Linked DNA regions of Lepisosteus oculatus. The protein of the gene in region 4 interacts with the protein of the main gene of each other region in a pairwise test. Links are inferred from orthologs where the notes say so. Each region holds a gene or a part of one and is shown on either strand. Other genes may lie near its edges.

Region 1 (7,230 bases), on a different chromosome or scaffold from region 4:
TCTGAATGTCAAATTAGAGGCTTCAAGGTGCAGATTTCTACTGCACACGTGGAGCAGCCCAAGGATAACAATGTACTGTAATTGTCCGCGCTTGAAAAAGCAAAAACATTAAACTGCTGAGTTAATGACTTGTGTTGGTCTCAGGAAGACTGAACTTTTGTGGTATACTTTGTTTCCTAAACCATGTATTATGTTGTTTTAGTGTAGGTTAAGGGAGAGAGGGTGTGAAGCTCAGTTTGGGGATAGCGTTATAACGGGGATTAAAGGGGAACTGCAGTCGCAATTTCTCCAAGAGGTTATTAAATCTCGGTAACAATTAATTAATTACTTACTTAATTGATTAATTGACGGTATTGCACAATTTGACAAATTCAGAATTAAGCACACTGGAAATACCTCACCGGAAATTTTGTTGTCTCATTCTGAATCACAGACTACAACGGCAATACAGCGCTGCACATATGTGGAACTTTTGTCTATTTTGTGATGTAAATTGGAGGTTTAACAAGTTACTGTGCACGTTTTACTTTCATTCTGTTTGAAATCCACTCACCAGTGGTGATTCTTTCTGACCCCAAAATATGAAAATAGCTTTTCAGTGCCCATTAAGGATGGGCCAGTTTACCTCCCAGTATGTCTGTGGCCTGTGGGAGGAAACTGGAGCACCTGGTGGAAACTCATGCTGACACAGGGAGAACATGCAAACTCCACACAGACAGCAGTCTGGGAATTGAACCCAGGGCCCCAGCACTGTGAGACAGCAATGCTAACCAATGTGCCAATCTTGTTTAAAAAAACTGCTCGTGATTTTCTTTTGAGAAATAAAACAAGATGAGGTACAGTGTACTTCATTACTGCCATTGTCACTATTTAAATGACATTGTTAACAGAAACAAGTATATCATGAATCATAAGCATCAAGGAAGAAGACTTGTTTTTACACAAAGGATCTGCTTTCTGATTAGGACAGAAAATGCCTGTCACTATCACTTCACTGAATTCCCCTTCAATATCAACCGGAGAAGACAGTTTGCACGTTCAAGGGTCATAGGAAGCATTCAAGACTAGAAAGACTGGGTAAAGAAAAATTAAGACAAAATGAAAAAATACGATTTTTTATTTCACAGCCGTTTTCTATCAAAATAGATACCACCAGATGTGTACGCCTCGAACAATAAACATTTAAACACCCAAGGATTTATTTAAAAAAATCTTTTGAATAATTTACCAAAAAAAAAGCCCTAATTTATAGTAATATTACATCGCTATTGTTTAATTAAATAAAAGCGGAATTGTAATTAAGTACATTGCCATCATAACTTGGTCAACTTCACAGAACGAGCGATGATTACGACAGACACTGAAACGGATATTTCTCAATAAGACAGACAATGAAATACTGAAGGAAGTGCAATGAGTGGTTTCATCCTGTCCGATTCTTAAGTGGAATATTACCCAAGACGGAGTTTTTTTTTTAAATCTCAATATGTCCACTTTGTATCTAATCCCATAACCAGATAAATCAACTGAAAAGAAAATCACGTTTATGACCACACGTTTATACACACTTTACTGGAGCAAAAGGTTGTTTGAAGGTACAGCATGAACGAATTTACTTCTTAGTGCCTTTGGCCGTCATTAGATGCACCTTTTTGCATGTGCTAACGGGGAAAGAACGAGCAAACACTTGTATAGTGACTTTCACAGCAATCAGGCTTTACAGCTTTACGGCTTTCAAGGGAAATCGGCGCATCAGAATAGGATGTGATGTTAGTGGAGGACGCAGCGGTGGGGGAATTGAAAACGTGAGCTATCTCCACATTGTACATTGAATAACCGCTATCACCACAGCCGCCACGATTGCCGCAACGAGACACGTAAGCACCCATCGCGCTGTGGCGCACGTTAGTCTACTTCGCCTTCTTGGGACGGGAATCACGGTGGTCACTGCCGTCACGCTGACCGCGTCCTCGTCCGCCATGGGCCGGCCCTGGCTGGTGATTGTGAAAATCTGGAGGGTGGGGGCAGGGCCGGGCGGTCGGGAGCTGACCCTTCTCGACGAAGCCCTCCGGAAGAACCACACGGCTCGGCTGGCTCCGCTGTCACCGGCCCGCGGGGGGGCGCGGCCGGCGGCGTGGCGGGCCGGTGATGGCGGCGGAAGGGGGTGATGGAAAGGGGGTACCGGAGGAGGAGGAGAGAGGGTAACTTCCAAAATCTGCGCGTCCTTCCTGGCGCTCTTGACCTTCACAACGTCCTCCCCCTGTTCGGTGAGGAACGTCAGGTGCCTGCACATGGGGCAGATGATGTGCCTGGTGATGTGCCCACTTCTGTTGGCGCCGACCAGAGTCTTGACCAGACAGTCGTGGCAAAAGCCGTGTCCGCAGCTCAGAGTCCTTTTGTTGTCCTTAAGGGTCTCGTAGCACACGGGACACTCGTCACTGCCGGCCCCCGTGCTGTTATCCCCTGTAGACATGCCTGCCGTTTCCCACTTCACTCCCCCAGGAGGTGACTGCAGTCAGAGCGCATTACAGATCACCCCGCATCCCAAGCGATTCTCCTCCAACATCGAAAGAATGCCCCGACTTCCAGCTCCACTACAGTATGTCCTTCTCAGAGCCCTGTTCAGCCCTGCGCTCGCCTCATCCTGAGCCCTGATTGTCTTTTAACTGATTGTCACCAGTGTGGTGAAGCGATACGCTCCCGATCCAATATTGTGTCAACAAGCCGGTTATCTTAATTCACACACGACATCGAGCGCCTTCGTGACCGCCAAGGTGCGCCCACAGATTCCTTTACATTGGACGATCAAAAGGCTGAAAAACCGGATTGTCTTTGGACTTTTTGTTTTACTTGAATTCAATAAATTACTTATAAAACAGCCCTTATGAAAAATACTTATATGTTTATACATAAACGAAGTCTGATTTCTGCAGAGCATTTTGATGTTCTGATGTAGGTCATCTATAGGTTAAGGGACAACACTATATATTTGTTTATACAGCACATTCCCCGGAATTATCACGAGTTAGGTGGAATAGATACCTGACCACGTTTTTTGTTTTCCCCTGTAGAGGTAACACAGGTAACACAGCTGAGTGAAAGGAGTTCTGAAACTCGGAAATAAGCGTATACGGTTGATAGCACTTACGCAACATTTTCAAAATACTGAAAGCAAACGTAAAATCATAAATATAAAATCGCGATCAATGAATCTGTTATTAAGAACTTTGTCCCTTTGTTAAGAGACAAAACACTAAAAGACCCGGCTCTCACAGCACTAGATTTGTCACTATTTTAAAACGGTATTTATTGTTAATAGGGTAATTAGCCACTTTGGGACTAATTGAGAGGCACTGTGGCTGTGATTAATTGGCTCTTGTTGGACGGTGTTACTTTTTCTGTAAACTTTTGTTTTGATAACCACTTCTAAAGTGATAGAAACTTTTACTTGTTTTCTTGTGTAATTTAATATGTAGTACATGCAATACGTTGTTTGGGAAAAAAAGAACACCAGATAGTGTATTTCCCCTTTTTTTCTTTTTTTTTTACACGAGTCGGGCATTTGGCGGCTGCAGATCTTCCACCAGTCGGCGCACGACGATAAAAAAGAAACGAAACATTGGAAAAATACGGCTGTTTAATTTGGGTGCCGATTTTTAGGTAGACATAGGTGCGTGACATTGCTAAATTAATTTCTAAATGAACGGGCTCTCCATTCGTTTAATTGTATAAAGCATTTAAGTTCTACGATTTTTATTAAGTTGCTAAAAATGACATTCATACGTGTAAAAAAAAGAATTCTCACGACTCAAGAAAAAATGTGTGGCTGTAGTCATAGCATTAAAAAAAAGTATCAAATGATATTTCCAAGAAATCTGAGTAATCCTTGAATTCCAATCGGTGTGCAGTTGCGTCACCCGGAGGGAAGGCCGTGCGCGTCTGTGACGTCACGTCGTGCCGGAAGTTGCGTGACCCCGGTGGAGAGGGGCTGGAGAGCCGAGATTCAGTTACTAAACAGAGAGGAGACAGGGGATGTGCTGAGACCCAGACGCCCAGAGGGATACGGGCCGGCGATGTTCAGGTAAGGACTAGTCTCCACGCTCCGAAAATGCCGAGCAGGGTTTGAAGCGGCGTGTATTTTACGCGGAATGGCTGCGGTTCGACGGGGGGAAGGCGACGCCGTCGTTGTTGACAGCCGACTTCTGTCTGACGTGTCATGTTTCTAGGCAGCAACTTGAAATTCCCACTTGCACAAAGATCGTATCTGTGGCTGGCTTGAAAATATGTCACCGAGATTAGAAAAAAAATGGTGCGGTCTGCTCTAGGTCTTGTATGGAGTAAAGGGCCGTTTTTGGAGACGTCAGGTAGCTCTTCGGGTATGTATTTTTAACTTGTTACTCTAAACAACTTGCGCTTCACCTAGTGTGACTCGAGCTGTATGTTCTTTTGCCCGTAGATGCGTGTCCGTTTGTCACTTTTCCAAAAGCTTTGGTTTTTACAAATTGTTGACTCGTAATTGTGAGCTAACGAGGTTAGCTCCGTTCATTTCAAAAGGGACGATGCTAAATTAGCTTATTCAAATCGTTTTTTGTAGGTTGTTAGACTGTCATTGCTTGAGATGGGCTGTGTACTTTCCTCGGACACGACTGTTATATGTTAGCCTCTTAGCTTTTTTTAATGTTCTCCAGTCTTTTCCAATGAAGACTCACCAATGGTACCGGTTTTTGATTCTCGGGTGCGGCTTGTCCCATATTACGTTTCTCGGGCTTGAACTGCAAGAGGGTCAGTCTAACCTCTGATGCTCCCGCCCTTCATCCGTGTTCATTGGCTGGGATCAGGATGTGACGTATACATTTCGGTTTTAATTGGGTAACATGACTGCCACTCAAACGGCCCTGCTGTGTGCAAGTTCCCCACGCTTGACAGAAATAAACCCATGAAATGTAGGATTTATCAATCACGTTTTTTTTTTTACAAAACTCTCTATATATCACATATCGCGTAAAGATGACACTTTCGTAATGCAAACCGTTGTCACAGATAAACAGAGCTGTCCTCTCTCTTGTTCGTTGATTCTAGACAGTCCACAACGTTGAACTGGAATATTCAGACTGAAGGAAGTGTTTTTAAAATTCTTATGTCATTCCTGTGGTTTATTTGAAGTAGCGTCTGTTTAAGCCTTCGATAGTGTGTATGAGTTCAGCACAGTAAATTTAAATTGGTATTCTTTCATATTAATAATGCTTGAATAAGAAGGTGACATTTCACATAAGTTTATCAATTTACATTGATAGGTTGTTTACCTTTTTACAACTGACCTAAATGTGAACTATTTATAGAATCATGGGAACATGGTTTTTGATGAAATGTCAGCCAGGAGATGACCTCCACATGATGTCTTTTAAGTTTTAATTTCCAGCAAGTTGAATCTCTTCCAGTTTGTTGTATGGACTTTTATTATTGGGTGAATCGTTAAATAAAAAGGAGAATGAAATATATTCTTTTTGGTCTTAAGGCTGAGGAGTGAAATTTTGGTTTTCAGGACTCTTTACTGCTTCCTGAGTGGGAAGTTACTGTTTTTACTTTCGCACTTTAACGTTAATCAACTTGCTATTGCCCTGGTGAATGGGCATAAATTGGTAAAAGAATGTATCGGGCTGACACGGTTGTCCAAAACAGCAGATATTTGCACCCATTTATACATCTGTGTGTTTTACTGGAGAGGCTGAAACAAGTCCCGATCTCTAACCATTGCTCCATACTGCTGCACTAAGTACATAAACAAGCACGGCACTGCTGGCCTGGCAGGGATCGAACCCACGTCCTGGGTGTTATTAGTACCACATGTTGACCAGCTACTGTTTTATCTCTCAGGACGTCTTGTTTCTCACAGCAGGATGGACTACATCATGTGTTAACCTAGGAGAGGGGTGGGTGAGAGAAGTTTGCAGAAGCATCTCATTTGTCCAATATCTTCCTTGCGGCTTCACCGCAGTGACTCAACTTGGCCCTGTTAAGACGGAGGGAGAGAAAAGGCATAAATTGCTTTCTACCATATTAATGACATCCAGATGGGCTGGGGTGGCTAGAATATGTGCTGGCAGAGGTCGTGCTGGTTTTACTGGAGGTGACGCAATAGTTAGATCATGAGAATCTGTAAACGTGGACTTTGGTTTGTTGCTTTAACTTTCGTTGTAGTCTCCTGAATGAGTTCATGTTCTCTTATGCAGGGTGTTCTTCTAATCTAGCTTTTTGTATGTGTGGTATCCTAATGAGATTTTATATTTAAAATAGACTTATGTATAGAATGTGTCCTGTAGTGAAAATGTATATACCACATAATTGCTGTACTCTTTCTTGCCATTTATTATTCTTTGGGCTTCTTCTGTCCTCACTGTCTGAAGGTAAACATTTAAACAGTCCCGAGTGTCAATTTCTGTATTGCATTACACATAGTTTCACTTTTTTAAACTGTCTAAATAAAGCTTTGCTCTCATGTTTATCTTGTGGGTGAATTCATAACACTGCTTTAAATGTGATTTGGGTTTGTGATCCCTATAACATCAAGAAGTAGTAAGTCAGTCTTCATGGCTTTGATTTTCTAGTATGTCCGTAGCTCACCTATCAACCAGTTTCTCCTTACACAGTGCATTATAAAGACGTGTATTTATTGAGAAAATCCTGCTGGTTCATCTTAAGTCATGAATGCAAACCACCAAAGTCCCTGTATCTTATAACCAATCTAACATAGTTGGTATTGACAAGTTCCCCAATTAGTTTATACTTTACTGGATTATTATATATTATGTTAAAATGCTTGGAAATTGAAATTCTTACCTGAACTGCCTATAACGTTGAACAGGGAAAGTGTGTTAAAATCAGTCATTGATTTGGCAGAATCCAGTGTTTTTGTTTATTAGTGTAGAATGTCCAAAAAAACAGAATGTCGTTACTTGGTTATCATAACAATAGCACTGTGAAATAGTAACTTCTATTCATATATATATAATTTTTGTACTTGAGAATATAGAAGTCCAAGTGTTGTCCACTGAGAAAGGGGAGTGAATCAGAACATCTGAGGTAATAGTGTCCTGTCCAGGTCCTGGAGCACCGCAGTGCCTGTGGGTTTGTGACCCAGCTGGGCTCTTAACCTCCGTTAGCAGCTTAGCTGGACTAGCTTGACTTTTCAGGTGTTGGTCATTTTTAAGACTCACTAAGATCATCTGATGT
Region 2 (7,275 bases), on a different chromosome or scaffold from region 4:
CTGGAAATAGAGGACGAACAGAAATATATGTTGTCATCTGCTCTGTTCAGTGGTCTTGTAAGGACATCCCAACCTTGACTTCAGCTTATGACTTTGCATTAAAGGCTCAGTATGAATGTGACAAAGTCTTATGCTGCAAATGGTCCACGTATATTTATAGGCATATATGATGCTCTATAAAAGATCAGAGATCCTGACAGACTTGATAGGAATGCAGTCCGGGTTTCTCTTCTTCCTAAAACTTAGTACTGTATATCCATCTTAAACCTGCACACAGAATTTAAGCAACACCAAAGCAGGGTATCCAGATGATTATCACCAACCATCTCTGTTTATTTCCATTAACGTATCTGCTACCTTCTTACACATGTTCTGGAAGTGCCCTGTGGTAAGAGTCCTTGTAGGCGTGTCTCTAATGTACTGTACCTCTGGATCATGCTGCTATGCCACCAAGCCCTCAACCTCTCCTTCTCAAGAAGGATTCACAATCTGCCAGGAATCTTCAGATGCAGTGGTTTTAGTTTGTGCTTTTATTTGCAGCCACAAAATTTCATTTCGTGAGGTTAGTTTGAGACTGTGATTTACTTTAACCAATACTAAGACTATGTTACCTAAACTGAACCTTTTTACAGGCTCAGCAGTCAAGAATATGATGGAAATATTCAGCATCCTTAAAGACTTCCAACACAGTCAACCCAACCGACTCCTTCAGATCGCACTGTGAAACACAGACCAAAGGTTACAAGTGGACACTACTTGGAAGTCCATTTAAGAACAACAACTGGGGGTACATCTTTCATAAAGGGTTGGGGGAGAATGGAACAAGCTAACCAACCACGTTGTTGAAACCAGTACCCTGGCTTTGTTTAATAAATGCCTAACTACCACCTGCACAAGATAGGCTGAATGAATGACTCCTTTTATTTGTACCTAATTCTTATGTTCTTAACATAACAGTGTTATGAATGGAAAAGTGGGTTCCGTTCATTTGCAAAAATTGTTCTTATGGACAGATGTAGAACTGGAACAAGAAAGTGTGGTAGCAAGGAATTCTCCATGGGAGCAACAATCCAAAGACGCTAGCTGATGGTGAGAACAGGAGGATGGTTTTATTCGCTAGCAAGACTGGGCAATGGAGACGATACTAAGTCATGGGAGTATAGGAAAAGCTAGCCAGACCTGTTGTTGAAGCAGATACCCTGACTTAATTTAAGAAATGGTTAAATAAAATCCTCAGGTCAACTAATTAACAGGATAGATGGGAATGCCCTCCTTTTATAACCAAGATGATCTGGCAGGAAGAGTGCACCGAAAACAGTAAAATTTAAACATTTAGGCTTCTGTTGGTTATAAAACAGGTTTACAGCAAAGTGGCAAGAATAAAATAACCATATATATCAGATGGGAATTCCAATCATTTATAAATGAGGATATAAATCTATGTTTTTTTTCTTAATCCACAAATTAACAGACTTATAGCTTTGCTTTTATTCGACACTACAGCATAAAATGTTGGTGTTCTCCCTAGATAACTAACTGATTAATTGTGCAATAAAAAAGATAATGAAAGAAAGACTTGTAGCCACATTCTTATTTGGGCCAGCCCTGGCAAAAATTAGTGTGAGCACCTATTGGCACAGTCACAAGAACATTGTCTAGAAGAGAATCCGTGTGACATTATTTCAACATCTAGAAGAGAGAAATAGATGGAGAATGTTGGGTGATGTACTGAAGCCCTTTATTGTCATGTAACATTCCTCAGATATTAACACAGATTACTGTACTTGAAAAACAGGCAGATTGGGAGCTGTCCATCATACAATGGTGCTGAAATCTGCTGACATACTGTACTGTAGTTTGTGTATTAAAAAGGCTGGATGAAATAAAAATGAAAGAAAACCGCATGCCAAGAGGTAGACATTTGGATTCTGGTTACATTCTTGTTAACAATCAGAAAAATATTCTGAAAGACCACTAGATAAAGATATGTACATAACTGAAACATGTTATGTAACAATACTATAAAACGAAATGGTAATGTGAGAAACCTGATTTTAAGTTCTGTAAGTGATTTTAAAGTGATCTACATAAAGGAAGAAAATGTTGGTTTAAGGTCATGGAAAGGCACAGCATGTTTTAGTTTTATAATATTCCAAACATGGTCTGAAAGCAATGTTCCCCAGACCTAGGGTTGTAATAATCCTTATTACTACCCTGGCAATTTGTATTCCTGGACTCTTTATGATATATTTTTTTTACTGAGCTATTTATTTCAATAGATTAGTAAGGCAACAATTTATTAAACAGGTTGAGAATCACCTAGCATAAAATGCCGCATTTACTGAGCATCTTTAAACCTTTAAAAGCCAGTATATATCTGAAACCAAAAGCCCACAGCTGACAACAATTAAAAAATACAATCAATACAACAACTCAAAACAAACTTTACAGAAAGGATAAAGATTAATTAGAGTAGAAAAATGAAGGTTCAGTTGCAATAGAATAGAAATAAAAAAATTAAAATTAAATTCAGGATGTCCTAAGGTTTCTTTATTGAAGGGGACCCAGCCTTATGTCATCTTAATTTTTGTAACATTTACTGAGAGCTGTATTGAAGGAAATAATTATTTAGTCTTCTAGGCAGACTTCAAAATCCACTCTCGAGTTGTAATGTAGTTCAAACCAAAAGCACTAAAGTTGGGTTAAGGCATCTCTGCTTAAAAAACAATCAATCAATAGCCACATCCTTAAATCTAATTCCAGCTCTAATGCCACTGATCCAGTTACACACACTGGTTTCAGTTTAAATCTCCTCAAGGCCAGTAAAGCCATAAGGATTGTTCTATGAAGGCAGATAAATTATTCAAAATAAATGTTTTTTTTGCCATTCACTAGAATGATGTGGCCTGCTTTCTCGTAACTAAATTCTATGAGGTTTATTCTCAATTTATCAATCTTCCTGTCTAGTCTTAAAAGTAATCTTTATAAGCCAAAGCCAACCTTTATTTTATCGTTACCTTTATTTACATGACCTTTCAAAACAAGAACATATTCGTCAGATTCAAGCAGTGATTCTGGAGCCCTAACCTCCAAGAGTTTTGTTTTGAGAGCTGGTGGCTTTTCTGCTACCAGAAAGAACCTCTACATGTAACCATTTTTTAACCCTGAATACATAGTTATAACAAATTCGGCCAGTCAAAGGTACTGTAAAAATGTTGCTCTAGAAATAAATTACAGTGGAGTTTGGTTGTATCATTAACATACTACAATGAAGGTTCATCAGCCTTTAAATCTGTTATAAACTGTCAACAAAAGAAAAAACTATATTCCTTTTAACTTATGTCTTGCATTAGTCAAAGGCATCAAAGCTTTTATAGATCTCTTTTACTCTTTCTTTAGCACAGGTTTGGTAAAAAGCACACTTGTTACAGGCTCTCTCAAGAATAATAAACCTTCACAGCATGGGATATCATGGGAGTCTAGTTCCTTCTTCCATTGAGTCCAGGTGTTCCCACTTTTGAGAGATTGGTCTAGTATAGGCACGGCCCTGAAAGGTTCACTAAATGCTCTTCAGAGCAGAACTAGATATGTCATCTTTCTAGTGCAGACTGCTGTGTGATCTGCGTAGAAAACAATTTTCAACCAGTACAGGATTTGCTATATGGGCATTTTCCATGCCAAATGACAATCTGCAGAAACAACTCAGTGTGCTACCATCCTCTTCTGAACTAGTCTAGTAAACTCACTATCACAGATTCTGTGCTAATTTATAAAATGAAGAATTTAGCTTTTAGTCATCGAACGAGGTACGTTGATTGAATGTGAGAACACACTATTCCTTTCACGAACCAAAAAAGTAGCACAGAAAATGTTAACTCTGCTGGCATTTCACCTACGGTATATTTAGTATTGTTCCAGAAACCATACTAATGTACTCTGAATAGTCAGTGTAGTGGGTTTGAATAGACCTGTTTAGTACATCTGTATAGACATCTGTAGCACACAAAAGCAAATCCTGGTGTTTAATGACATCAGTCATTAAATGTGCTGGATTTGTAGACAGAATGTGACCAGAAAAACGCCTTTCAAAACATCAATTGTCAGCCTTCTTTACAATGCCCTGTAAAATGTGGTAGGAGTAGCTTTAAAAGAAAATCATGTACTGGCTTGAGGCTTTAACCTCGATAGAAAACCAAGAATGTTATACCCAGCTACCCAGTTTGTTAGGCAGTCCTAGACTTGAATATATTACCATTGATCCCTGGAGCATAAACAGACCTGACAGGACCTAGCAGAGGAGAGAGAGCCAAGAGGAGGGGAGGGCCACTGCTGATTCAAACTGGATTAAATAGGTAACCTGTGCTGCTGTAAAATGGCTCTGTTACCGCTGTCACAACTCGCGCGGAATTAGAGCAGAGAGGGAACAAAGCCTTCAGAGCCAACGTACTGTACATGTAGGTGCTGCAGGAACAGGCAGCAGGGACATGTCTTCTGTTTTGTATCCTGGGGAGCATGGTATCCCCAAAGAAATCCTTCTGGTTTGGCTGCAGAAGCAGGAGCAGCTCCATCAAGGTGAGTCTGGCCTGATTGGGTCGGTGAGTTCTCACTCAGCAAAGTTCTTATGCTTCAGCAGTGCGTACAGTACCTCACATCTGTCAGTCTGCACAATGATGACCTGTGTGCCGAGGAAACACACCAAGAATGTCCAGACTTAGCCTTCTTGTTTTCTGTGTGGCCTTTCAAGCTGTGTCATCTGCAATTCTTTTGGTTTAGAATGGTAGAAATAACACAGACAGATTAAAGTGCAACACCACCACTCAAGCCAAAAAAGTAAAGATGGCCAGACAAGAACTGTTATTTTTGCTTGTTAGGCAAGATAAAGTAACTTCACCGACTGAAACATACTGTAGTACAAGGTCCAGTCCAATGTATTAGCCAGGTTAAGTGGCCTTTATCATCTCCTGGACTGTTGGACTTTGTGCTATTTTTAAATCAATGTGTTTTCAAAAATTAGATCTGTGAGTGTTGCACTTCTTTGCTTCTGTTTAGGATGTAAATGCAGAGTAGTTACTGACCTGTAATCAATTACTCCTGGTTAGGATGCATGTTAAATGGAAAAGGTTCACTGGTAATGTGCTGTATTTTAAATGTTTCAGTAAAGACAAAAATGGGCTTTTTGTTAGGTACCTGTATTTCACTGAAAAAGAAAAGGCAACCATAAAATTGTCCAAAGAAACAAAATTAAAAAAGAATGGGGGTTTGGGATCAGTGTGGTAATCTCGAGTCCGTCTCATATATTATTTTAAGGAAACCTCACATTGAGGCTAGGAGAATGTCAACTGAAGAGGAGAAGGAAGTTTTGTTTTGTGACAGACAACACAGTACAACCACATTGAAATAGAATTCCACAGCTAGCATTGTACATGTCCCTGACATTGCACACTCCCAGCATCCAGTCATAAAACACTATTCACATTTTCTGCAAGGGAACAAGTATGATTTATGACTGTAAGAAATAAAAAAAATCAATATTGAGGTGAGTGAGTTCCGATCTTTAAGCACTATGGAATCTTAAAAGATAAATAGGACAGATTGTACAAGAAGAAAACAGTATTCTCCATGCCAAGCTATTTTGTTACTGAAAAATATATAATTCTCACACTTAACGATTTTTTTACTCTTGAGTTGGCTTGGGGTCCCAGTGTGAATCCATGGTTCATAACCTATGACCAGACAGGCTTTGCATTTGGCTGGACGCTCAGTGAAGATCTGCTAGGAGCTGAACACCTACTTCCTTTGACTGGTGTTAATTTTGAGCTCTCATCTTTGCAGAGGCCTTGGGAGTAACCCAATGCTTGCAATGTCCAAAAAACTTCCATGAGAAATTATTTGGTGCACACTGCTCTGTTTTATTGCAACAGTCAGCCAAGGTCTCAACTCAGATGATCTTGTCAACTTTATTGGTCCTTACTGCCCGCTGCTTTTATTCAAAGTGACTTACATTTATACTGGGGGGTATTTTACAGAAGCAGTCTGTACATCCAAACTAAGCGTCATTTTCAAGGGACTCCTGAACGGTACTCAAACTTATCCGACTGCTTTACTACTAAAATGTTTATTGGCTTGGGGTAATGTTATACACTATACAGTATACCTGTAATACATATTTAACTTATAGCCCTGCCTAATGTTCACAAGCGTTATTTTGCATAGTCTTGTCAATAACAATTTACAATCTAAAATTTGATTCAAGTGGTATTGCCTGCAAATTTACTTTTACAGTTACTTTATTTGACGCCATTTAAAAAAAAAGAGATCCTTTTTGTAAGCAAATGACCACATTGCAACAGCATGGGACACCTCGCAAACAAAATCGTACAGATGCTACATCTCATTCATTGGTGTTTACGACGCCAGACAACAGGCTCAAAACACGAGCAGTGCCTTCTGAGCAGCTCTCCAGTGCCTGACTTTTTCTTGCTGGTTAATAGGATTCCAATTGGCTTTAAGCCTTTCAAAACCTGTTTAAAAATTTCCAGTAAGCGGAGAAAGAAGCAACGGTAAATGGATTAAGTGGTTTGTCTGATATCTTAATTGTTCTTATTTAAAGATATCTTTTATCAAATGGGTGTGTTAAAGGTTATTGAAATTTCAGTTAGTATCTGCTTGTATAGGTGATGTCCAATGGATGGTTCCTTGTATGATTCAGAGGAAAGTATTTGTGGTAGTTATACCTCATTTTTGCAGTAAGTTCTATAGTTTTAATGGGGATTTATTTTACTACTGTACATTTATTGCAAGAAGAACTACTGACTTTGGGTACCCTTTTCTTTCTTTGATGATTTTGTATTCTGAACAACACTGGCATAGGCCAGAAGCTCATTGTAAATGTTTTTTTTCCTGGATATTATCATCATTATCATCAACAACACAGGCATTCATCACGATTGTGTATTATGTAAGCATACTCTATGCAAGGTTCAGTCTGAAAGCCCTCCATCTTTTCTTTGGCCTTGGGTAAAGGCTAAGTTCACTGGAACAGAGGTACAGGCTCATGCACCAGAGATTAATGACCTGATTTTGTAAACTGGCATTGCCAGTTTTCAGGCCACTGATTTGTAAACCCCATTATTTAATTCCAAATGTCGTGCATATTAAGATCCCATTTTCCACAAGCATCTGCTTGTGTCCACCTCTCTGAAGTCAGTAACTTTTCCACTAACAACTGCACAACTACTCAGGTCAATAAGATATGGTACAATAACAGTAAGGTTG
Region 3 (7,452 bases), on a different chromosome or scaffold from region 4:
CACTGATGGCTGCTGTGTGGGGTCTGTGAAGTGTTTTGAGTGGAGTGCTGTATAAATGTAAGGAATTATTTGGTTTGTAATTGTAAACAGACTAAGTTTAATTTTCATTCTTCTTATAGAAGTAGTAAACACTGCATAAAATCTTTTTAGCAAAGCATGCAGTGACTAATAACGTTGATTGATCATTGGATAATAACACCCCCAATCAATTTTTAGTAGTCGTGAGTGGTACTCAAAATACTTTCAACATATGTATAAAATAGGTATGTTTTTCAGAGTTTATGTTTAGTAATCTAATACATCTGACTGCTTAATTAAAAGTGATTTTTATTCTGGGAAAAGTAAAATCTGGACGCATTTGTAATCAATAGAGGGCAGCAAAGGATTTAAATGAGAGAAAATGTTGTTTGCCTTACTGGCATTTTAAAGATTATGAGCTGTCCTGGAAAATGGGTTTTGTAGGGGTGGTGAATGCGCAAACAGCACATTTTGCATATCAACCGTTTCTCAGTCATCCAGAATTAACAAACTTTTCTTTATGTTGTAAACTTGTAATTGCAGGGAACGTATTTTAAAGCATCACCTGTAAATACTGCTGCCAGGCCTCTGTCACGGTCAGTGCTATTAAACTAAAAAGGCTTTTTGGAGCCACTCCATGCATTGTGTAGAACTGCAAAATGTAACTTTTTACTTCTCAAGAAATTATAACAGTACTGGACACGTTTTTCATGATAAAAAGCCAAATGTTAAGGATGTGTTAAGGGACAGATAGACATGCTAGTAATCTTCACTATTACGTTTCGAGAATGTTACTGAAAAGTAGGAATTCATAGTTAAAAAAAGCAAAAATCGTTTAAGAAGCTTGTATGAAACAAAGCAATACTGCTATCTCCTCAACCCCGCCTTCATTATAAACACACCTCTGCCCTGCCTAATAAGGAGGTGGGAGGGGCAACGTGTTAGAAGGTGTGTCGACCTATAGCGGTCTGATTGGAGGACGTTTAGGGAGGGGCGTGGTCACTCGATCCCAAATCCTGTCTGAAACTCATTTCCTCCATTCTCGGAGACAGAGACTGTTAATCATATCTTTCTCCGCCTGTACTGATCTACTAAAATTACATTTTACTTCTGGCTACAAGGGAAAAAATCTTTGAACAGGAAAATAAAACCGCAGTTGGTTGACAGCTGTTGTTTATCCTTTGAGAATAAACTATAGATTTCCCTTTCGTTCGTTTTCTTTTTTTAATTGAACGCCGATTACGCCTCGTTTAGAGGGGCTAAAGGGGATTTATTCCGAGCATTGTTTAGGAAAGTACAGCGAGCAAATTCGCCGGTGTTTATTACAGTATACTGCAGCACGTTTGAAAAGCTCTACGCTGAATCGGAGGTTCCCTGAGGAGCGAAAGAACAGCTGTTACAACACTCACAATACAAACAACGAATGGCATTTTTACAGTGTTTTCTCAAGAGTATATAATGACTGAGTTCAAATCTAGGGCATTAACTCAAGTACTGCCACCTTCAGAGAGGAAAATAGAACATCAGCATAGAATACCACGCTAAATACACTACATATATTTGTCTGCTTCTGTATTATTAATCTATATTTCACACGGATAATGCTATTTTCTTTTCAAGATTCCTTCAGCATGGTGATGTGAACAATCGGGGTACCTTTCCATCATGTGGACTCACGCTGCGCTTCTGTCACGAAACCAGTCTTTACAGCGCAGTCAAGTCACAGGCTAGTGTGAGAGAGATCTCACCAGCTCTCATCATAAGTGGGGACATCTGTGCAACACTGTTTTTTTCTTGTCAGGTGGTTTAAGGACACAACATGTTGAGAAAAATCAGTTTTTATTTAATCCGTTAGAAAGACAGGTTTATAGTGAGACACACAGCATTATCCCCAGACCTGGATACAGCCAGTTTTCATAGCTGCTGGAGAATAGGGACTTTTTTAATGCCTGCATGTGGCACTTTCCCTGCCTGTCTGGTATGATATTTGCAGTCAGAAAATTTACTGTCACCGAGTCTTGGGAAAGCCAGGAATAAATCTCAAAATGGAGGGATTGAGCCAGACTCCTGGCTAATACAGTGTCTACTTGGGATTGATGTTCACATGTTATGCTTAATGCTATGAGACCCAGTTAGTTTGCAGTGGAATATTAATGGAAAACAGTGATTCAGTATGTATGATCAGGTCAGTCTGAAACTGGTATTTAGTTATATAGCACAAGTTGTAGAGAGCACATGTGAGTGTCCTTTCACATTAATTATATTTTAATTTGGTGTTTCCAACTCTTTGTCCTATTAACCTGTTGTTCAAACCAAACAACAAGAAAGACAAGCTTCTGAAAAGACTTGACAGTGTTAACTGAGAAAAAAGGGGATGTGAAAAATACCAAAAGAAGCTGAATTTGGCAATTTGTGCACCATCAGTGTCTTAGGATTTCACTTATATATTTGGCTTCAAGTTTTACAGAACACAGTTGTGTATACGGATAGATCACTTCAAAGTAGATCAAACACTCCCTTAGTAAACCAGAAGAAGCATATTGTGGGGGATTTTTATCTGGTCATCTTCCACTTTAATGGCAGGCTTTGGACTTGCCATGTTTCCGAAGTCTGACGGGCAGCTTGGTTGAATGGAGCTGCCGTGTGGGTTTGGGGGTGTCGGAGTCCCGAATGGGGGGCCGGCAGCACCGGCACATAGAAGACGAATGAAATCACCCGCAGAGCCGGGGGGCTTGAAGAAAGAGGGGCGTTCTCGCTTTCCTCCGGTCGCGTCAGCTGCTCTGCTGTCTGAGGATGAGCAATGGGTTTCATATTGGCCTCTTTAAAGCGGGAGATAAGAACAGAGTCTGTGATTCCTGTTAACGCTTCATGTCAAAGGATCCTAAAGCACTTTCCATTTAGGAGGGGATCCACTTCATCGACACATGGGAGCCCCTCTGCACCAGCAAGCCCACTAACCAGCAGATCAGGAGCAGACGTGAGCTGAGTTAAGAGAGAGCTCTAGATTGTGCGAGCCTGGGCATTTGAAGAATTTAAGCATCACACCAGTTACCCACTCAAAAAGTGCCATATGATCTCTTGGGATCAAGCTGTCAGTATCATGGTTTAACATCACAACCAAACGAAGGCACCTCCTATCTCAGTCACTGTACCGAGACATTGGTTTAGAAATTCTGACGGAGCAAAGAGCGCCACCTACCGGTCCACCAGCACCACTTGCAGTGGCAACAACCCGATTTCCTTGGAGGCTTTCTATCCCAGGCCCAGCCTCGATTAGCTCCTGAGATCTGATGGGATCAGGTGACACAGTGTCTGCTAACATCTCTGATCACAATTCACTCTAAAACAGGGCAGATCTGAATTCATTTAATTGTACAGCAATGAGCTGGGACATGAAGGGTCAATACCTGAGCTGACTTACCATCTGCTGTGTGGAGCTCAGTTTGACATTTCACATCCAAAGCAGTGCCTCTTACAGCATGCCCCCTTCATTAACTGCATATTGGCTTGAGTTTTTGTATTTTCTGTTTCAGTCCTCTCTTTCTTGTTTCCATTACTGACCTTACAGAGCTTCTGAGATCTGACAGGATCTTACACCAATGCAGGACAGCTGCTCATCTGGATATAAAAGACATCACCAAGGTGACACACATTCATTAAAGCCAAGTGGAAAGAAATCCGCACACAGAGTCACTATGGAGGAAAATAAATGCCTATTTAGGAATCCACTGCTCTCAGCAGTGTCTGTGCTGCCAGCTCTAGTTTATAAGGTGTAATACACTATTTCTTGATATATGCTCTTAACTGAGATGAGTTACTACTGCATTACTCTTAGCTTTGATATCCACATCCCATTGACAAGATATCTGAGGTGCACAATAATCAGAGTTGTGCTACAGAGTGTTGTGCTACAGACACAGAAAGGACTACTTTCTGCTATGACACTGATACAGCGAAGTCCAAGAGTTTTAAAACTTCTGTAATAGTATCCTATATGAGTCCATATATGTAATGTTTTCATCTGCAAGTTAAGTCCCCAAAGAAACTGAAATCAGTGGTGCACAGCTCCATTCCTGGCACGTCGCAGTGTCTCCAGATTCTATCCCACTCTGCTCTGAATGACCTAATTGGCCTAATCGTTAGTTTCACTGGACCAGTTTAACTCTTTTCGAAGATCTACCGAGGATTTAAAACGACCCAGAAAACCTGCTGGATTCTGGACACTAGAGGAATGGAATGGTGCACCTGTGGTTTAAATAAATGACAGCTCTTTAACAAAGGGAGCGGGGGCGTTCAGACCCGCAGAAAGCACAGAGGGGAGTTTTTTAAAAACAGAACACTAGGTTCGACAGCTTTAAGCGATGTGTCATTCCGCGTGTAACCAGCAGGTGGCGAACAAGATGGTTTAAAACCTAACTGGAGCAAGAACTGCCATCCAGAATGGGATTGTGGCAGCGTTCTCAGGACTGGAAGACACCATGAGCCCGCAGAAAAGTAGAGCTAGCCCGAAGGTTTGACAGTCGTCATTAAACAAACGCAAGAATAAACTCGTTTGTAGACTATTGCAACGCGGGAAGCTGAAATACAGAACATGAGTGTTAAATCATATGGTTAGCGGAGTGCAGAACGAGGAGAAAGAGGAACTTGGCAGTACAGACTCTGAGAGACAAAAGGACTGCAGTACAGGACGAAGCACCTTCCGAACTTGCAAATACAACGTTTGAGAACATTTTTTTTCCTTCTGAAAAGACTCATAATTGGCGATTCTTGCACAGCTTGATTCCGGGGGGCAAGCACAGCCAAGAACTCATCCCTCTTTTCATGCAGTGAAATTCCGGTGGAAATTTAAGAAGCATCCGGATCCGTAGACAAAAGAACGGGAAAGCCTGACAAAAAACCCTCTCATGACCAGCTAGAAAACGGGGCTGCACAGCATTGACATAAAAACAAAATCTACACAGGAGTAAAAACGAAATGGGGTGAGTTATGTTGTTATTATTTTTTAAAACTTAAAAAAAAAAATGTTGTTAATAGCAGAATGAGGGAAAAGTTAAGGATGGCGCTACATTGACCACATTGCTTCTATGTGGATATTTATAAATAAACTGATGTTTAAGAACATAGCCTCCTTCCAGTGTCTCTTCGCGGATTGACGAATACCAGCAATGCACGGAGAGTATCAGTTCATATTTGTTTTCCTCGCATTGGATGAATTTCTTTTGGGAGGGAAAAGTGCTTTTCTATGAGCTAGCTTCAGAACGTATCTTGACACGTTGCCCTTGGCGGCGTTTACGAAAGCATTCGTCTCGTGTTGCTGGATTAGTCTTTAAAAACCGCTGCGACAGTGGCTGGGTCTGATTTTTTACTTTCTTTAAACGCAAACAAACTTTGAAGCAGGACAGTCATGCTGTGGCTGTCAGTGGCGGAGCCCCCCCTTGATTTTACCGGTATGAAACTAATAAACGAAGTGCTAAAATGAAAATCTGGGACCTGTGCATGCTTTTAAATAATTACCCCCTCCCCCCAGCGCCAGACCTAAGCACATACTGTATGCAGTTAACGGGGCATGTAAGTATGGATCATTTATTTCGAAATATACGCTTTAAATCGGGGAAGCTAGTAAAATGTAGGAGGGATAAGGGAACAGGATTTAAAAGCAGCATAAAGGTTGGAGGAACGCCCTCCTACTATGTTGCAAGACAGCTGAAAAACCTACAGTATTTATGTCGCCCTCAAGTTATTCTGCTTAAGTGCTTTAAAAGAAACCTCTGTTGGGAAAACTTCGCGTCTTCAGAGCGTGGGAACACAGAGCTGAACATTCATATTTAATGAAACACAACTCGGGCGCAGAACCTTCACGCCAGGTGACATGACTGGAAAGACACTTGAGCGAGAACGTTCGCCAGCAGAAAGCCTGAGAGCTCCGCTGTGACCTTTCGCGGTCTCCAGGATTCCACGGGAGACAGTTCTGCGTGGGTTGCCCTGTCCTGTCGCGAGAGTTTTCGTCTATTAAAGCCACGTGGCAGAGACGATTTCGCCGTGCTGTTCGGAAGCATCGTGTTGCGTTCTAAAGTAACGATACCATCGGCGATTAGTAACATTTAATAGTAGCAGCGAATTGTGTAATTGGATCATAGGTGTTGTTACAATGTACAAAAGTGAGACAGTATTGGAAAGGATCTTTCGTGACAACTTGCATGTAATTGCACGGATATGTGGAGTAAATGTGCTCCGTCCACACACACACACCCGGCTTGATATAAGTAGGTTCACTTTCTTGTGCACTTTCTGTAAAACACGGGTGGGTGTGATTAGTCACGCACTGGAGCAACACAGTGGGACTCCTCTTGTGTTGCCTTTATGCCAAAGGAAAATTCTCCAGTTAGGACCAGCGCTCTTAAATAAAGAGAAGTTTCACCTAATCAGACGATCTTCTGAAATTCTCTGAAAATGTTTTCAGTAGCTGCATCAGGTGTCGTCTCTATTGTTCCTGAAGTTGGTTAGGGTGGAATAAGAAATAAGGTTCATGCCCTGGTATTGACTTGGACACTTCTTCTGAGTGGCTCTGTATGCTCTAGAGCAGAGCTGAAACACTATTCTCTGCTCTCTATCAGATATTGGCATGAAAATCTGGAGAATTTCTATAACCGCCTTCCCGCATGTGTTGTCCTATTGTTTGTGTCTTGCTGGGTATTACTAGGTTGTAATCAGTGACCAGATATTGCTGTAGAAAATGTTCTTTCGCTGTGACCTTGTCTGTCTGCAGCTGCTGCTGGTTATCCAGCTTTCTGATGGAGTTGCATGCTCTTATCCTGTCACTTACACCTTTTTTCCCCTTTTCTCTTTCTGCTGTAGAAAAGGAGCTCTTCCTAGCCTGTAACAATGTATCCACTACACAGAGAAAGGTACTAGTAACGTCCTTCGTGTGTGTTGTGTGTTGTGTGTGTGCGTGCCTCTGTGCTCAGTCAGGTAGTTGCAGGCTGTCCTGCCTGGGAGGTTGGGGTTGGGTGGGGTATTTCAATAAACACATCTTGAAAAGGAAGGTCCTTTAACTTCTGCTCTCCAAAGAACCCCAGTGTGTATTACCCAGGGGTTGTGGTCAGTTGTGATTCATATCCTGGGAAAAAGTTTGCAATAGTCACTTCGTTATGACCTACATTATTTAGTGACTGGTTCTACGGATGGCATTGCAATTACTCGTCTGCAATGGAACAGACCACAATAAAAAACTGTAGAGCAGTTGATCGTGGACATTATGCCAAGTAAATAGTTTATAACCAGTGGGTTTATTTAACATGAGTTCTGTGGCAGAAAGGCCATTGGACACTAATATATGGCTCCAGTGTTGTCTCTTATAGTGGCTGGCAGGAAACTGTCAAGCCCCTTGTGACTTTTATTGAGACGATTTTCTCTGATACAGAGGCAGGGAACAAG
Region 4 (8,002 bases):
TGCACTGTCCACTCCACACACGCGCACTGTCCCCTCCACATTCGCGCATGTCCCTTCCACATGCACTGTCCACTCCACACACGCGCACTGTCCCCTCCACATTCGCGCATGTCCCTTCCACATGCACTGTCCACTCCACACACGTGCACTGTCCCCTCCACACGCACACTGTCCCCTCACATGCACTGTCCCCGCCACACGCACTGTCCCCGCCACACGCACTGTCCCCGCCACACGCGCTGTCCCCGCCACACGCGCTGTCCCTAACCTGAACATGTGCTGTCCCATCAACACGCACTGCCACCTTCACACGCGCTATCCCCTCCACACGCACGCAAGCACTGTCCTCTCGGCGCGCACACTGTCCTCTCGGCGCGCACACTGTCCTCTCGGCGCGCACACTGTCCTCTCGGCGCGCACACTGTCCTCTCGGCGCGCACACTGTCCTCTCGGCGCGCACACTGTCCTCTCGGCGCGCACACTGTCCTCTCGGCGCGCACACTGTCTCCTCCACACAACACAGTTACCTTGCACCAGAAGCCGGCGGACAGTGGGAGTGAATGGAATCACTCAGCACACGGCGCCGCCTCTTCCTCCGCTCTCAGGAATAACTGGAGCAAACAGACAAACGCCTAAGAGGAGCAGCCCAGGCCAGAGAGAGCCGTCAGGATGGGAAAGCGGCGACAGATCGGCAGAGACGCCTGTCGAATCCCTGCTGCGGCAGACCTCGGAGCAGCTGTGAGCTGGAGCCCCAGCGAGGAGAGGCTGGGAGAGGCTGTAATCCAGAAGGGCTGGGATCAGGTTACAGGGCTGGTAAATATAGCGTTTGCCTCTGACCTCTCAGGTCACTCAGCACTCGCTTGCATTCCAGCTCTCTTAAAGCGGAAGCCTCTTACTGTCATTTTCTCTGAACTGTCCACCATAGCTTCTGCTTCGCGCTCCAGGTCAGAACTGCCAGTTCCCCAGCGGGTCAACTCCCCACCATACCCCTCGGACACATGCAGGACAGGCAGAGAAATGTGCCTGTGCACACTGCAGTCCACACAAGCCCAAGGCAGGACGAGGCCCCGGAGAGGAGGCAGATGGACCGTGGCGATGTGCGCAAACTGTGCTGACCAGGCAGTAAGGCACATATTCCAACACTATTTTAACGACACACAAAGTCTGCTCCAAGGGTCTGCTGTCCCTGGCACCAGTCGTCCACGTCACTGTGATGTGAGCTCACACAAACCAGACTGCAGCTGCTACAAGCCTGATCTGTCCCCTCACCCTGATGTTTACTGGGAGCCCGATCTCTGTCCCCCACACACCACTGTGCACAGGGACCCTGATCTCTGTCCCCCACACCCCACTGTGAACGAGGAGCCCGATCTCTGTCCCCCACACCCCACTGTGCACTGGGAGCCCGATCTCTGTCCCCCACACCCCACTGTGCACTGGGAGCCCGATCTCTGTGCCCCACACCCCACTGTGCACAGGAGGGAGCCTGATCTCTGTCCCCTCACCCCACTGTGCACAGGGAGCCCGATCTCTGTCCCCTCACCCCACTGTGCACAGGGAGCCCGATCTCTGTCCTCCCTCACCCCACTGTGCACTGGGAGTCTGATCTCTGTGCCCCACACCCATTTGTGCCCACACCAGGAGCTCTCCAGCATGGATTCTAGGGCTCAGGTCGCCTGGCCAGTGTGGGAGCAGCCTTGCGTGATCCCACTGGAGAGGGCGGAGATGCAGTATTGAAGGGGGAACGAGGGCGAGACCTCTGACCCTGAGTTTCTGCCAGAGAAGACACTGTCACGGTGGGTGCTGTGGCTTCAGACTTCATCACTGCCTCCCTCCCAGAGGGGCGGGTCTGTGGCACAACCTGGTGGCGTCAGGGATCAAACTGAGAAGGACTCTGCCCCACAGCCCTGGGTTACAAACAACCGTTTTTGAATTCACAATCACCCAAATGGACAAACTTCCACAAAGGCGTGTGTGTTAACCCATTTAGAAAAAAAAACAAAAACAAAACAGGATTCACGCAGAGTGTGGGGACTTTTATTTCCAACGGAATTCACCAGCAACCAAATGATCAATCAGCCCCCATCCCCTTCAATTCCAAGATCGTACCAATCTACACGGGGACGTCCCGTGACGTACTCTCACAAGATCAGAGGTGCCACCACCACCCTGGCAATGCAGCTATTAACCGAAGCCAGCACAGGACACCGGCAGTGCAGATCTCAGCGCATATCCCAAAACTCTGTACCGCAGCTTTCATGAGGCTGCCGCGATCTAAAAACCTAACTAAAATGCTTACGGCTCTCCTCTCGCCCGTGAGATTTCCCATGACGTACTGGCTCCCACATACAGTTTGCACGGGACGGTCCGGGACATGGACACAAAAGGGCCTGGCGCCGACGGGACGTCCAGAGCTGGAATCTTGTCTGGAACTGCACCCACCGGCCCACGAGCCAGACGGAGGGGCGCGAGGCGAATAACTGCCCCCCCCCAAAAAAAAGACAGTCGGTAACAACCTGGTCCCGCAGCGGACGCGGAGGGGACGGCCCGCTGCCGAACCGGTGCGGATGGCGTTACACAACGCGTGATGTAACACGAACCGACCGGCGCTTCACCGGAGCAGCAGCCCCTGGCGAGCTGGCCGGCGGGGCAGCGCTGATCGGGGGACACCGTGTGTCACTTACATCGCCGGGCTGTCACCGGGCCCCGGGCGTGAGGGGGCGACTCCCGGGCGGAGAGACCAAGCCCGGCCGGCCGCAGCGACTCGCTCCCTGTCCCGGATCGGAGGGCTGTCTCTGCCGAAGCCCACCGGGGCGCTCTCCGCTGTCTCTCGACCCAAGATGCCTGGTCCGGGGGACTTGTCTTGTGGGGACGGAAGTTAAAACAGTGGACATTCAAAATAGTAATAATTCACAAAAAAAAAAACAAGTTCTAAGCCCTTTTTTTACAGTCCAGTTTCTTCCCAAATAACGGGTCTCCTGCTCTCACAGTGACGTCGTCCCTTCACCTTTTTGTCGCTGATTGGTTGCTTCACTTTTCCTGACGTCACATAGCACCGCCTCCCACGCGGTTGCCTAGGTAACGGGAGTAAACACACGCCACCTCAGGACACCGTCCCATTTCGTGTAGAAGCGCACAGAGCTTTTCGTGCCCTGTTCTTGCCGTTATGAACACACCAGCCAAGAAGTAATAGGTTTATCCCAAGCTGAAAAGAGAAGATGAAAACACAACGTTTCGGCCGTGGAGCCTTCTTCAGGTGTGAGCGGCTCCACGATCGAAACGTTGTGTTTTCTGTCTTCTCTTTTTCAGCATGGAAGAAACCTATTACCGTTCCTTTGCAGCCTACGCATGCTGACGCAGCTACCCTCCTGAACTACTACTAGCCAAGAAGTGCACATAAGAAATATTTTAATATTAATTCTGAATTCTAAATTGATTTGTTTTGTTGTTTGTTTTTAATAAATTCAGATTGTCCCCACAGCGGTCCTATAGGGTTTCACTAGCGGTAGACTCACATTCCTTCAGAAAAAAAAGGTCTGCAATACCGCAATAAAATACTTTCAAAGCGTTGGGATCAGAAAGAAGACGTGTGTTTGCTTGGTTTTACGGTAATCAAACTGTCGTTGTCTATCCTCTTCAATACCCCACTGCTGCTGCGGTCAAAGCAGTTGTGTTCGGGTGAGGACCCCTGGCGACGGGATGACTGAACTGCACTTGTTCTTTTCTGATCGTGTTGTCCATAGACGGTCCGTTCAAACACCTTCGTCCTAAAACCTGTGCACTAACAGCGAGATCACGGCACGTTTCCACACCCGACCAGGTAGCTGACGAATAACGTTTGCTTTAGACAAAGCGCCGGTAGTAAAAACGTAAACGTTAAATATACACAAAGGGAAATACTGAGCTGGAAGATCTTATGAAAGACGTAGGTGTTAAAGCTGACACTTTAAATCTTTGACAGTGTGGGGAGGTCATTATGAAAGACGAACAAAATGCCAGGAAATAAAGTGAAAAGCCTAGAATTATAATACTAATTCCTTACACTTTTCTTTACACTCCACTCAAAGCGCTTAAGGCTGAAGGAACTTAGTATTGTACAGGTAAGGATTATGGGTTCGAGGCAGGTATTCAGAATCCTTAAAGACACTGACAGTCAAACCAGAGAAGTTCTTAAAGATAAACAAAAAAACAGAGAACAGTTGTGGAAACAGTGTAGAAGTGCAGTACACTAAGAACACGTGTTCTTAGAAACCCAGTGAAGCCTTCTTAGGTGAGTTTGCTGATTTTCTCTCATTTTTATGCCTTAAATTTAAAAGGATCCTTATTCTAGGGGACTTTAATATACACATTGACTCAAGGTCTTCCAGTCTGGTTAAAGACTTAATTTCTCTATTGGGATCCTTTGATCTTACTCAGTTTGTTTGTACCCCTACACATAACAAAGGACACACCTTGCATTTAATTATTGCAAATGACTCTTTTGTCTCCCACTGCTCCCCCCTTGATCTAGGCCTCTCTGACCACTTAGCCATTCTCCTCAATCTAGAATTACCTGTTTCTAACACTTCCCCCTCACGCTCTGTAAATTATCAGGCTTGGAGAGATTACTTATCTGAGTATAAGGTTACTATAGAGTCTGCTAGATCCATCTACTTCTGCCATTACCCCCGTGCCAAAAAAGCCTAACATGGCTCTCGACAATCTTAACAATTTTTGCCCCATCTCCAACTTACCCTTTCTTGCTAGTGTTCACATTACTCCTATCCTGGAGTCCTTGCACTGGCTTCCGGTCAAATTCCATGTAGACTTTAAAATCCTTATGCTCACCTATAAGGCTCTGCATGGCTTGGCACCTCAGTACCTGTCTGATCTATTATCGCCCTACTCCCCATCTCGCAACCTTCGCTCTCTAATTCGGGTCTCCTAACTGTCCCCCCAGCCCGTCTACATTGTATGGGCGACAGGGCCTTCTCCTGTTGTGCCCCCAAGCTCTGGAACTCTCTCCCCAAGGATATCAGAGAGTCACCTTCTCTAAACTCCTGCAAATCCAGACTCCAAACCCTCTTCTTCAGAAGAGTCTTCACTGAACTGTTCCATTCTTCACCCCTCTGCTCTTCTTACTACCCCCATCCACGGTCTCCTCTGTATACTGTCATTGTGTTTTATCTTGTGTAGTCTTCTTATTTATTGTTGTTGTCATCCTGTAAAGCGCTTTGAGAAGGCACCTTTAGAGGCGCTATATAAAATAAAATTTTTCATTATTATTATTCTTCTTTACACAGAGGGTGGTGGGAGTGTGGGACAAGCTACAAAGCCATGGTGTTGAAACTGACAGCCTGGCTTCTTTCAAGTTACGGCTGAGATACTTGATCAATTAACTACTAACTACCAAAGGGGCTAGATGGGCGTAATGGCCCCTCTCATTGTAACACGTTTTCTTATGTTCTTATTACTTTATGCCTCAGCTACACCGCTCTATTGTAATATCGCACTGCGGCGCCCTCTGGTGGACACTAATGATGTCCATCTCACTGCTTGAAATACAGTGAACTTTGAACCATATTTCACAAAATCGTGTACAGTACAATCCAATGTGGGCAATCCGTAGGATTTCAACACCTGCAGGGAACTGTAGACGTTTCCAGTGACGTTATTCAATGTATTAATCTAATTTTACAGTATGTGTACCAAAGTGTTAACCTTTCAGGGAGAACACACAAATCATATATTTCAATTAAATGTTGTGTATATCCAATAGTATGAAGTGTACACAGTAATTTATATTTTTCTATAACCTTTCCAATTATATATATATATATTACAATTGCGATTGCAGCAGCAATTAATTTTATTCTTTGTTGAGCAAAAAAAAAGAGCTTTATTTAGTTTCTTAGTAATCTTTAAAGGGGTGAATTCATGATGACCCGTTCCTCTAAACACAACCGCATTGCTGTGTGTTGAGTCAGACCCTTCTCTATCTGTCCTCACAGATACCAGGTGTCAGGGAGTCTACGTCAGGCCACCCATCTCTTACAAACTCGTGGTGCCCTAATCCTGAACCCGATTCCATTAGAAATGACACTAAAAAAAAAAAACCACCACCACAATCACAAAGAATGTGCTCTTCTGATCTTTTATGACGGCGGTCGCATCCTGCTCTGTGCATCGTAACGGACATCAGAACCAGCCTTCAGTCTCGTAACGAGGAAACTAAATGCAGCTGCAGACCACTACAGTGTATGATCTCCTGGCACAGTCAGGGGAACAGAGCATGAGCCTCACAGATAGCTGCGTTTATTGTTACTGCTTTTACAGCACTGTAAATTCATCAGTCGTTTCTATATATCTTATGAGTCATCGTCAGTGATTCATAGGGCTTTAGCAAGAGGTGCTTCTGTATGACAATTCTTTAATTAACCCTGACACTGGCCTTTAGGTCTGTGACTTAACCAGGATTTCGCCGTCGAATCACCGCAGTCTGTGTTCCAGCGGCCCAGGGCATCCGAGGATGTCAGCCGGCACACCAAAGGGTTTTAATTACGCACTGCAGTACGCACCCCGCCTTTCATGTCAATGTTTAATTATATACTGTGCGCCGCACCGCGCGTTTTCAGGCGTTGTTAGATTTGTGCTGAAAGTACATCGCCCATTAAAGGACACCTAATCGACGGGCGTCAGCAGAAAAACTGGAAACATTACGCTTAAGTTGAAACAATGACCTCAAGTGTATCATTAGCGGGCATTGCATATGCCCACCACCGGAGGGCGCGCTTAAAGATGCTTGCAGCCGTCACGCAGGTGACCCACCAGTGTTCAGTGCCGTACAGTCCGTTGTCGAAAATGGCTTCAAGATGACGACATCTTCTCGACATCCCTTTGTCTTTACAAGAATCCCCCAAAGCCATGTCTGTGATTTAACCCCCCAGTGCAGACAGGTGTCTGCTGCAAGACTCTGGGGTCATTTCTTCACAAATGACACCAACAAGCAGACCAAATAGGGAACAGTTTCAGTTTATTTTTTCAAATAAGGCAAGAACAGACAAAATACCTATACAAGATCAAATAAAAGTCATTTATCTTACAAAATGTCTCATCACAAACCCCACATCAACAGGAGCTCTCGCCTGGATGGTGCCAGCTTGGCTCACCATCGCCCCCCCCAGGCCACTGCCTGTGCCACCGCCTGGCGCCAGGAGAGTGTCTGTTCTGCAGCGCCTCTGGCAGACGTGCAGAGCCGAGCAGCGCGAGGACAGCGGGTGGGACAGACGGTGACCAGTGTTCACCCTGCTGAGGGGCAGGAGGACGGGGGACTGTGCCCGAAGCTCAGGGCAGCACCCACACATCGCACCAGAACATTTTACACAGTTTCCATGGTAATCTACACAAGTAACAAACAGATAGACATTATCTTACAGCTCCTCCGCCAGACTCGAATAACATCCACGCCGTGGGGGAGGGTCACATCTCACAGAAAAAGTAGCTCCAGGTCAGCAGGAAAGACCCATGTTTTTCTGGTGTTTTTGAACATTTCTAGTTCTTAACCACGAGGGCTTGACAGCAAGAAAAACACAGAAAAAACATTTCTTTCCCCTAGAATTATGCCAGAGGGGCCATGTTAAGGTTCCAGCAAACAGCTGAGGGCGCAGTGCCTAGCGGGCCGAGCTCACAGCCTCAGCCCAGGGCGAGCCACGGAGCGCACCTCGCTGATCCCCCGAACGCCTGTTCAGGCCGAACTGACTCAGGGGGTCTGGGTGTTGCCAGCGAACAGCACATGGACTCTGTCCAGCAGGGGCCACCAGCATGACAGCATGAGCCATGCAACAGGAAGGAGAAATCGGTAGTTCATCAAGGTGAAAAAATGGCCCACAAAATTCATAAAAGCAATATTAAAAGCAAATGAAAATTACAGTAAAAACAAACTCAAAATTAAAATGTGCACAGGAAGTGCAGGGCTGGGGTCCAGTCTCATGCAGCTCGTCAGTTTCGGGAAACCGACGCCGCT

Evidence for each region.
Region 1: the proteins of usp2a (region 4) and ndel1b interact in binary tests that used the Homo sapiens proteins (3 or more experiments, as listed by UniProt). The two-hybrid records come from large-scale screens. The link is inferred for Lepisosteus oculatus from reciprocal best matches to the Homo sapiens genes USP2 and NDEL1.
Region 2: the proteins of usp2a (region 4) and lhx4 interact in binary tests that used the Homo sapiens proteins (3 or more experiments, as listed by UniProt). The two-hybrid records come from large-scale screens. The link is inferred for Lepisosteus oculatus from reciprocal best matches to the Homo sapiens genes USP2 and LHX4.
Region 3: the proteins of usp2a (region 4) and homer protein homolog 3 interact in binary tests that used the Homo sapiens proteins (3 or more experiments, as listed by UniProt). The two-hybrid records come from large-scale screens. The link is inferred for Lepisosteus oculatus from reciprocal best matches to the Homo sapiens genes USP2 and HOMER3.

The regions. Positions count from the first base shown.
Region 1 is NC_090704.1:43,782,974-43,790,203, forward strand, and holds the start of ndel1b (nuclear distribution protein nudE-like 1-B), read left to right. Parts: upstream 1-4,217; 5' UTR 4,218-4,306; coding exon 4,307-4,376; intron 4,377-7,230. Other genes in the region: RING finger protein 222, read right to left, coding at 1,811-2,473. UniProt on the Homo sapiens protein: Required for organization of the cellular microtubule array and microtubule anchoring at the centrosome. May regulate microtubule organization at least in part by targeting the microtubule severing protein KATNA1 to the centrosome.
Region 2 is NC_090704.1:26,256,373-26,263,647, reverse strand, and holds the start of lhx4 (LIM/homeobox protein Lhx4), read left to right. Parts: upstream 1-4,259; 5' UTR 4,260-4,484; coding exon 4,485-4,572; intron 4,573-7,275. UniProt on the Homo sapiens protein: May play a critical role in the development of respiratory control mechanisms and in the normal growth and maturation of the lung. Binds preferentially to methylated DNA.
Region 3 is NC_090724.1:3,910,941-3,918,392, forward strand, and holds the start of homer protein homolog 3, read left to right. Parts: upstream 1-4,431; 5' UTR 4,432-4,992; coding exon of another isoform or gene 4,993-4,997; intron 4,998-5,374; exon of another isoform or gene 5,375-5,586; intron 5,587-6,873; 5' UTR 6,874-6,900; coding exon 6,901-6,923; intron 6,924-7,452. UniProt on the Homo sapiens protein: Postsynaptic density scaffolding protein. Binds and cross-links cytoplasmic regions of GRM1, GRM5, ITPR1, DNM3, RYR1, RYR2, SHANK1 and SHANK3.
Region 4 is NC_090718.1:14,956,603-14,964,604, forward strand, and holds the start of usp2a (ubiquitin carboxyl-terminal hydrolase 2a), read right to left. Parts: upstream 3,007-8,002; 5' UTR 2,685-3,006; intron 776-2,684; exon of another isoform or gene 612-775; 5' UTR 528-611; intron 1-527. UniProt on the Homo sapiens protein: Hydrolase that deubiquitinates polyubiquitinated target proteins such as MDM2, MDM4 and CCND1. Isoform 1 and isoform 4 possess both ubiquitin-specific peptidase and isopeptidase activities.